Kluyveromyces lactis: one gene and its partner. Each later gene encodes a partner of the first gene's protein in a complex. Links are inferred from orthologs where the notes say so. Each region holds a gene or a part of one and is shown on either strand. Other genes may lie near its edges.

What was found.
Region 2: RQC2 (region 1) and CDC48 share a complex: the UniProt entries of both Saccharomyces cerevisiae proteins name them as parts of the ribosome quality control complex. The link is inferred for Kluyveromyces lactis from reciprocal best matches to the Saccharomyces cerevisiae genes RQC2 and CDC48.

The regions. Positions count from the first base shown.
Region 1 is NC_006042.1:2,527,369-2,531,689, reverse strand, and holds the start of RQC2 (Rqc2p), read left to right. Parts: upstream 1-1,461; coding exon 1,462-4,321. Other genes in the region: deadenylation-dependent mRNA-decapping factor PAT1, read right to left, coding at 1-742. UniProt on the Saccharomyces cerevisiae protein: Key component of the ribosome quality control complex (RQC), a ribosome-associated complex that mediates the extraction of incompletely synthesized nascent chains from stalled ribosomes as well as their ubiquitin-mediated proteasomal degradation.
Region 2 is NC_006042.1:552,871-557,275, reverse strand, and holds CDC48 (AAA family ATPase CDC48), read left to right. Parts: upstream 1-1,377; coding exon 1,378-3,870; downstream 3,871-4,405. Other genes in the region: HNT1 (adenosine 5'-monophosphoramidase), read left to right, coding at 142-193, 342-736; cyclin PCL2, read right to left, coding at 4,285-4,405. UniProt on the Saccharomyces cerevisiae protein: ATP-dependent chaperone which probably uses the energy provided by ATP hydrolysis to generate mechanical force to unfold substrate proteins, disassemble protein complexes, and disaggregate protein aggregates.

The DNA of each region.
Region 1 (4,321 bases):
GTTGCATATGATGTGCAATGTTTCCTTGTGTTTGATTGTACATTATCGGTGGTACTTGTTGGAATTGTTCCTGAGGGTTAACAGGTTGATTAGGAAATCCGGCATTACCGAATTGATTAGGGATAACAGGGGGAATATTTTGCCCAGGGAATTGCTGGTATTGACCTTGAGGGAACCCTTGTGGAATAAAGCCGTAGCCAGGGTTCTGCGGAGGTTGCATACCATAGAATCCAGGTTGAGGCGGCATAGCCATCTGTTGTTGTCTGTCTAAAGATTGAATGGCCAATCCTTCCACATTAGGTGCACCTTGCTGTTGAACCTGTGGTGGGGCTTGGAATTGTGTAGGGGCTTGAGGTTGCACCTGTTGTTGCTGATTACCGGAGCTGTTACCCCATAAAGATTCCATAGGTTGCATGTCCAGCGATTGTTCGAAACCAGGTTTACAGTCTGCTTGTCTGTTCATTTTGGCATTTGCAATAGATGCATAAGAAACAGGAGCTGGTGCTGGTGCCCTACCAGAACCTGAACCAGCGCCAAGCTCCCCTTTACCGTAACCAAAATCAAAATCTGTACCCAGATCCGCTCCAGTACCAAAAGTTTCATCATTGAGCAAATCATCTTCCTCTGGCTCATAATCACCCAAGCCTTGATACGTTTCTTCGAAATCTAAAGAATCCTCCTCGCCTTGCTGTTTCCTCTCACGAGGTTTTCGGCCCGTGGCGTCAAAACCGAAGAATGACATCGTTCAGTGATTCAGGAATATAAGGACTCCTATACTAATTGGGCAAAAATCGATTTCTAGATCAGAATTGTCGACAAATCCTATTATATTCTCTTAAAAACACAAGTAATGTGATTTAAGTCGCTACCTGCCTGCGTTTCGTTCAAGCAATCTTCCAACAAACGGTCTCTGAATATCTCTGATCACTTATTTTTGAGCATAGAAACTACTTTGCTTGTTAAGTGAATTACATTTTTGGGTTGTTGTTTGATGAAAAATTTCACCGTGCAAGATGATATACATATTAAGGATTTCTAGTTCAAAATTTGAAATTCAGGTCATGTGATTTCAAATATTTGACATTTTTCAACATGGTAGTTTAGAAAGTTCCAATACAAACTCGTACGTAGTCTTTCTTTCCTTCATTAGCAGCATATATAAAGTGATTGCGAATAGACAAAGATGACATATACTACTAACATCCTAGGTACAGCTATCTGGAAAATATATCAGCTTAGCAGTTTAGTCTTAAACCTAAGTAATAAAAGATATCTGATCTAATAGCAGTGACCAAGTTCTAATAATTTTAATCTGATTAGCAGTGAAAATACTGATTTGTATGAAGATCTGAATCAAGTATAGTGCTCGAAAAGAATCAACTCAGACTGGTAAAGTGGACTTAACTGCAACTTGGAGAGTACGAAATATCTAAACTATAATCTTGGATTTGATACTAGAAAATGAAACAGAGATTGAGTTCGTTAGATTTGCAACTGATATCCAAAGAGTTGGAGAATCAAATTGTAGGATTTCGCTTAAGAAATATCTATAACATTGCTGACTCAAACAGGCAATTCTTATTAAAGTTTGGAAAACCCGATTCCAAGTTAAACGTTGTCATTGATTGCGGATTGCGAGTTCATACTACTGACTTTACCAGGCCGATTCCCCCGACTCCTTCGTGGTTTGTTTCCAAATTGAGATCGTATTTGAAAGAAAAACGATTGACGGCAGTTAAGCAGATCCCAAATGACAGAATAATTGTGTTTACTTTTGCTGATGGTAAGTACTACCTTGTTTTAGAATTTTTCAGTGCCGGAAATGTGCTTTTATTGGATGCTGACCAAAAAATTCTTTTACTACAGAGAGTTGTCGATGATTATTCGATGAAAGTTGGTGAATTTTATGACATGGCCAACTTTGCAGAAATTAACCAAACTTCAACTACGGTTCCTGATCCTAAGGAATATTTCGAAAATGAAATAGCAGATTGGTTGAAAGAAGCCGACGTTAAAGCCAAAAGCACAATTGTGCCCGGAGAGGCTAAAAAAGGTAAACTCAAGGGAAAAGCATCTGTTCCGTCTATTCAAAAACTTTTATTTGTTCATGCTCCACATTTATCAAGTGATTTGATTCAAAACTCGTTGAAAGCTATTGGTATTGATCCATCTTCTTCGTGTCTTGAGTTTAAACACAATGTCTCTGTGCTTGTTGACTTAATGTCCTCATTAGAAGTTCAAGCAAATAAATTGATCTCGACTACGTCAACAAGAATAGGTTATATAGTGGCTCATAAGAACAAACTGTACGATCCTTTAAGAGACAAGCCGGAACTTGAATACACTTTTTCAAATTTCCATCCCTTCAAACCCTTTGTAGGAGATTCCACTGACGTCAAAATTATCGAAATCGGCGGAATGTACAATAATACCGTAGACACATTCTTTTCTACAATAGAATCAAACAAATATGCTAGCCGTATCCAAAATCAGGATTTCCAGGCTCAAAAAAAATTGGATGAGGCAAAGAATAACAATGAAACTATTATAAAATCGTTATTACATGCACAACAAACTAACGAAGAAAAAGGAAACATTTTGATAGCTAATGCAAATTTAGTAGAAGAGGCCAAGAATGCAGTTAAAAGCTTATTGGACCAACAAATGGACTGGCAAAGTATGGAAACTTTAATAGCAAACGAGCAGCGGAAAGGCAACAAGATTGCTCGGATCATTAAGCTGCCAATGGATTTACCAAATAATAAAATTACCATTGAATTACCAAAAGATGGGTACAGCGAGGATGATTCTACTGAACATCATCAGTCAGAAGCTGATTATTCATCAAACGAAAGTGATGTTAACCAATCAGATTCCTCTGTCTCATCGGATTATTCTGATTCTGATTTTGAAGAACTAACTTCATCCAAAAGTAAACAGCAAAGTAGAAGAAAATCCAAGATAACATCAGAGAAACGGGAAACTGTTCTGCTGACAGTCGATTTATCTTTATCGGCATTTGCAAACGCCTCCAGTTATTTCAACGCCAAAAAGGCGACATCAGAGAAACAAAAAAAAGTTGAGAAGAATGCTGAAAAGGCTTTAAAAAGTATCCAGCAAAAGATCGAAAAAGATCTACAAAAGAAGTCAAAGGAATCTCATGATATCTTGAAAGCAATTAGAACTCCATATTTTTTCGAAAAATATTACTGGTTTATTTCTAGCGAAAGTTTTCTCGTACTGATGGGTAAGAGTCCCGTCGAAACTGATCAACTTTATGCAAAGTATGTTAATGACGATGACATTATGGTCACCAATGCATTTGACGTGAAGGCTTGGATTTTGAACCCTCAGAAGACTGAAGTACCACCAAACACACTAATGCAAGCTGGTACTTTTGCAAATTCTGCAAGTGATGCATGGTCAAAAAAGATTGCATCCTCTCCTTGGTGGTGTTTCGCTAAAAATGTAACGAAATTTGACGACATTGATGGCAGTGTTCTTCCAGTTGGATCATTTAGAATGAAACAACCTAAAGCTAAAAACATGTTGCCACCAGCACAATTAGTGATGGGATTAGGACTTGTGTGGAAAGTAAAGACAGAGGATAGCGAGGAAAAAGAGGGTGAGTATGAACAAAATAGTGACTTAGAAGCATCTGACGATGATACAAGTCATACTTCTCAGCCGGAAACAAACCCAGTCGACCAAATTGATAATAATGTAAACGTTATTTCAAAAGAAATTAATGATCTAGGGTTCGATGTCAACAATTTCGATGAAGTGGCTTTAGCAGGAGAAGAGGCCACTGATGGGTACGAGAAACTCTCAAATAGTGATTTATCCAAAGGTGAAGAGGATTTTGATGAGAGTAAGACTATAGCTACTTCAATTGTTGAAAATATGAATACAGCGGTTCGTGGTAAGAGAGGGAAATTGAAAAAAATCCAAAAGAAGTACTTTGACCAAGATGAAGAAGAAAGATTATTGAGACTAGAAGCACTTGGAACATTAAAAGGTATTGAAAGAGAGAAGCAAAAAAAACTTGAAGAGATGGAAAGAGCCGAAAAGAGGGAGTTTAAAAAGCGGATACGTAAAAACCAAGAGCAAACTCGCATCTTGCAGTTTAACAAATCAGAAAAGGTCGAAGTTGATATTCCAAAATTTTTGAATCAATTGAAAACCGGTATTTCCAAAGATGATAAAATAGCTGACGTTATCCCTGTCTATGCCCCCTGGGCTGCTTTAACTAAAAATAAGTATAAAGTCAAAATACAGCCTGGCACTGCAAAGAAGAGCAAATCTATTAATGAAACTCTAC
Region 2 (4,405 bases), about 2.0 Mb from region 1:
AGGGCCAATACACAAATGTATAATGATGAAAAAAGACTGAACTCCAATTAGTTGCAGATTCTCCAACATTTTCGCAGTCGAAAGAAATATTGCAATAAGTACCGATACGTGTGAATTCAAACGTTTAATAAGCCGATACCAATGAGTGCTGTTGCCCACGACGCTGCTTGTATTTTCTGCAAGATTATCAAAGGTATGTAAACCTCAAATTGTTAGGTGAGAACAAATATCTGTTTCTCCCCTTGGTTTTTGCATGCTCGCAACCACCCAAGTGGCTTAGACTAGCTCTTTGATCTTATGAACTATAATACTAACAGATTCCACTACTGGTGTACTTTCAGGTGAAATCCCTTCTTTCAAATTGGTTGAAACTCAGTATTCTTACTCGTTCCTTGACATCCAACCAACTGAAGAGAACCACATTCTTATCATTCCAAAGCACCACGGTGGGAAATTGCACAACATCCCAGATGAATACTTAGCTGACCTGTTGCCAGTTACTAAGAAGTTAGTGAAAGCCATTGGCTTCGACCAAGATGGTCCTGATGGTCCAGGGTACAATGTCCTTCAAAACAACGGTAGAATAGCCCATCAAGAAGTAGATCACGTGCATTTCCATTTGATCCCAAAGAAAACAAAGGATGCTGGATTAATCGTAGGTTGGCCTGCACAGGAAACTGATTTTGCTAAGCTGAGTGAAATGCATAAAAAGTTGCTTGCCAAACTAGAAACCTAAGCGCGATCTTTTTCGCAATGAAAGAGACCAAGATATGACGAAGATGACGAAGCTGACGAAGCTGACGAAGCTAACGAAGATGATCATTGAGATCGTCTCATATATATTATAACTACATATTTCCTACTGTACCAATTTCTACTTACCATTCACATAAGGAATCCAATAGCTCATTCGCATTGTGGGAGGGATCTTCTTAGAGAGGAGATGAAAAAATATTGTTACCCGGCCGAAATTTCACATATCCGGTGGCAAATTCTGAAATCTCTAGATTATAAAGAGGGAAGCGATTTATTATATATAAGTATTGCACACTATTTTCGGTGATCCTTGAAGGTTATTTTCAGGATTAACACCAGTAAGTGAACGCTAGATTAAATAAAGCACTCACCAGGGATTTACAATAATTGTCTCCTTTAATTGAATCATTGAATCACCAGATTAGGGGTTAGATCAAGTTATTTAATTTTTGTTTTATCTTCCGTCTTTTGGTTGAAATAAGAAGAAATAAGGTCCAATTTCAGAAGTTAATCAAGAAACCTGCATATCCTGTTTACCAAGAGCTTAATTACATCGTGGATCCTACCAGAAGGAATTACAGTATCTTTAAAACAACTTTTCACCTCAGTTATTAAGAGAACATGCCAGAAGAACATAAGAAATTGTTAGATAGTTCTGGCACTGCAGCTGACGCAGATGATGCTACCGCCACTGCCATCTTGAGAAGAAAGAAGAAGCAAAACATGTTACTGGTCGATGATGCAGTTAACGATGACAATTCTATCATTGCTATCAATTCTAACACTATGGATCTTTTACAATTGTTCCGTGGTGACACCGTTTTAGTCAAGGGTAAGAAGAGAAAGGACACCGTTTTGATTGTTATGATTGATGACGAACTGGAAGATGGTGTCTGTAGAGTAAACCGTGTTATTCGTAACAACTTGAGAATAAGACTCGGTGATTTGGTCACTATCCATCCATGTACCGATATCAAGTATGCTTCCAGAATCTCAGTGTTGCCAATCGCTGACACCATCGAGGGGTTGACTGGTAATCTATTTGATGTGTACTTGAAGCCATACTTTGTCGAAGCTTATAGACCGGTTAGAAAAGGTGACCACTTTATCGTTAGAGGTGGTATGAGACAAGTAGAGTTCAAGGTCGTAGACGTTGAGCCTGAAGAGTACGGTGTTGTTGCCCAAGATACTGTCATTCATAGTGAAGGTGAGCCAATTAACAGAGAAGATGAAGAAAATAACATCAATGAAGTCGGTTATGATGATATTGGTGGTTGTCGTAAGCAAATGGCTCAAATTAGAGAATTGGTCGAATTGCCATTGAGACACCCACAACTATTTAAGGCCATTGGTATCAAACCTCCGAAGGGTATTTTGATGTACGGTCCTCCAGGTACCGGTAAAACTCTAATGGCCAGAGCTGTGGCTAACGAGACAGGTGCATTTTTCTTCTTAATCAATGGTCCAGAAGTCATGTCCAAGATGGCTGGTGAATCTGAATCCAACTTGAGAAAGGCTTTCGAAGAAGCAGAAAAGAATGCTCCGGCCATTATTTTTATCGATGAAATTGATTCTATTGCACCAAAGCGTGACAAGACTAACGGTGAAGTGGAAAGAAGAGTCGTTTCTCAATTATTGACTCTAATGGATGGTATGAAGGCTAGATCCAACATCGTTGTCATTGCAGCCACCAATAGACCCAATTCTATCGATCCTGCTTTGAGAAGATTCGGTAGATTTGATAGAGAAGTCGATATTGGTGTTCCTGACGTTACTGGTAGATTGGAAGTCTTACGTATTCACACTAAAAATATGAAGTTGGCTGACGACGTCGACTTAGAAAAGTTGGCCGCTGAAACCCATGGTTATGTTGGTGCTGATATTGCCTCCCTATGTTCTGAAGCTGCTATGCAACAAATTCGTGAAAAGATGGACCTAATTGACTTAGATGAAGACGAAATTGACGCCGAAGTGTTGGACTCATTAGGAGTTACTATGGACAACTTCAGATTTGCATTGGGTAACTCCAACCCATCCGCATTGCGTGAAACCGTTGTAGAATCTGTTAATGTCACATGGGATGATATCGGTGGCTTGGATGAAATTAAGGATGAATTGAAGGAAACCGTCGAATATCCAGTCTTGCATCCAGATCAATACACCAAGTTTGGTTTGTCACCATCGAAGGGTGTGTTGTTCTACGGTCCTCCTGGTACTGGTAAGACTTTGTTAGCTAAGGCTGTCGCCACCGAAGTGTCTGCTAATTTCATTTCGGTCAAGGGTCCTGAGTTATTAAGTATGTGGTACGGTGAGTCCGAATCCAATATCCGTGATATTTTCGACAAAGCCAGAGCTGCAGCCCCAACTGTCGTTTTCTTAGATGAATTGGACTCCATTGCTAAGGCTCGTGGTGGTTCTTTAGGTGATGCAGGTGGTGCATCTGACAGAGTGGTTAACCAATTATTGACCGAAATGGATGGTATGAACGCCAAGAAGAACGTTTTCGTTATTGGTGCCACTAACAGACCAGATCAAATCGATCCAGCTATTTTAAGACCTGGTAGATTGGATCAATTGATCTACGTTCCATTACCAGACGAAACAGGAAGATTATCTATTCTATCAGCCCAATTAAGAAATACACCATTAGAACCAGGACTAGATCTAAAGACCATCGCTCAAGCTACACAGGGATTCTCTGGTGCAGATTTATTATATATCGTACAGAGAGCTGCGAAGTTTGCCATTAAAGATTCCATCGAGGCACAAAAACGTGCAGAAGTTGTCAAGAAAGAAGAAGGTGCAGAAGAAACCGAGAAGGTCAAGACAGAAGAAGACGTTGAAATGTCAGACGTTCAACAAGAGGATCCAGTTCCATTCATTACCAAAGAACACTTCACTGAAGCTATGAAAACAGCCAAGCGTTCTGTTACAGATACTGAGCTTCGTCGTTACGAAGCTTATGCTCAACAGATGAAGGCATCCAGAGGACAATTCGGCAACTTCTCGTTTGGTGATGATTCAGGTGCTGCCGCAACTCAAGCTGGTGCTGAGGGTTCTGGTGCAGCTTTCGGAGATGCCGCTGGTGAAGATGACGATGATTTGTACAGTTAGATACATAACCTTCACAAAACATAACAGGTCTTTTTCGATGCAAAATGAAATGTAATAAATTACAATACAGAGGAATACTTGTTGCTAAATTTACGTAGAGATTAAATATTATCTATTAATCACGTGTAACAGGATATTTGAGATAACTGGTTTTAATATGGTTAAAAGATTCATCAGTCTTAGCTATCCCTTCCAATTTTGGGTCTTGAATTCATCTTTAATTCGACCTAGTAGTGCAATGGTATATTTTCGCCAGGCAAAGCAATACAGGGTCTCCGAAGTAAAACCAAATTATATTAATGAATACATATATGTGCGAGAGTATGTACGTTTGAATGAAATAGAAAGTTGAGAGAAAGAAATGCAAATACCAAATAGTCACCTACGTGCTTCAATGTGTTGGCAATCCGTCCGTTAATGGAATATCGAAGCCCAGCCTGACTTTGAAGATATATTATTTGTGTTTGTGACTGCATGTGCAGGCAATGCTTTAAAGTCCGTACAAGACTTAGAATTCAACATAATAGGCTTCGTT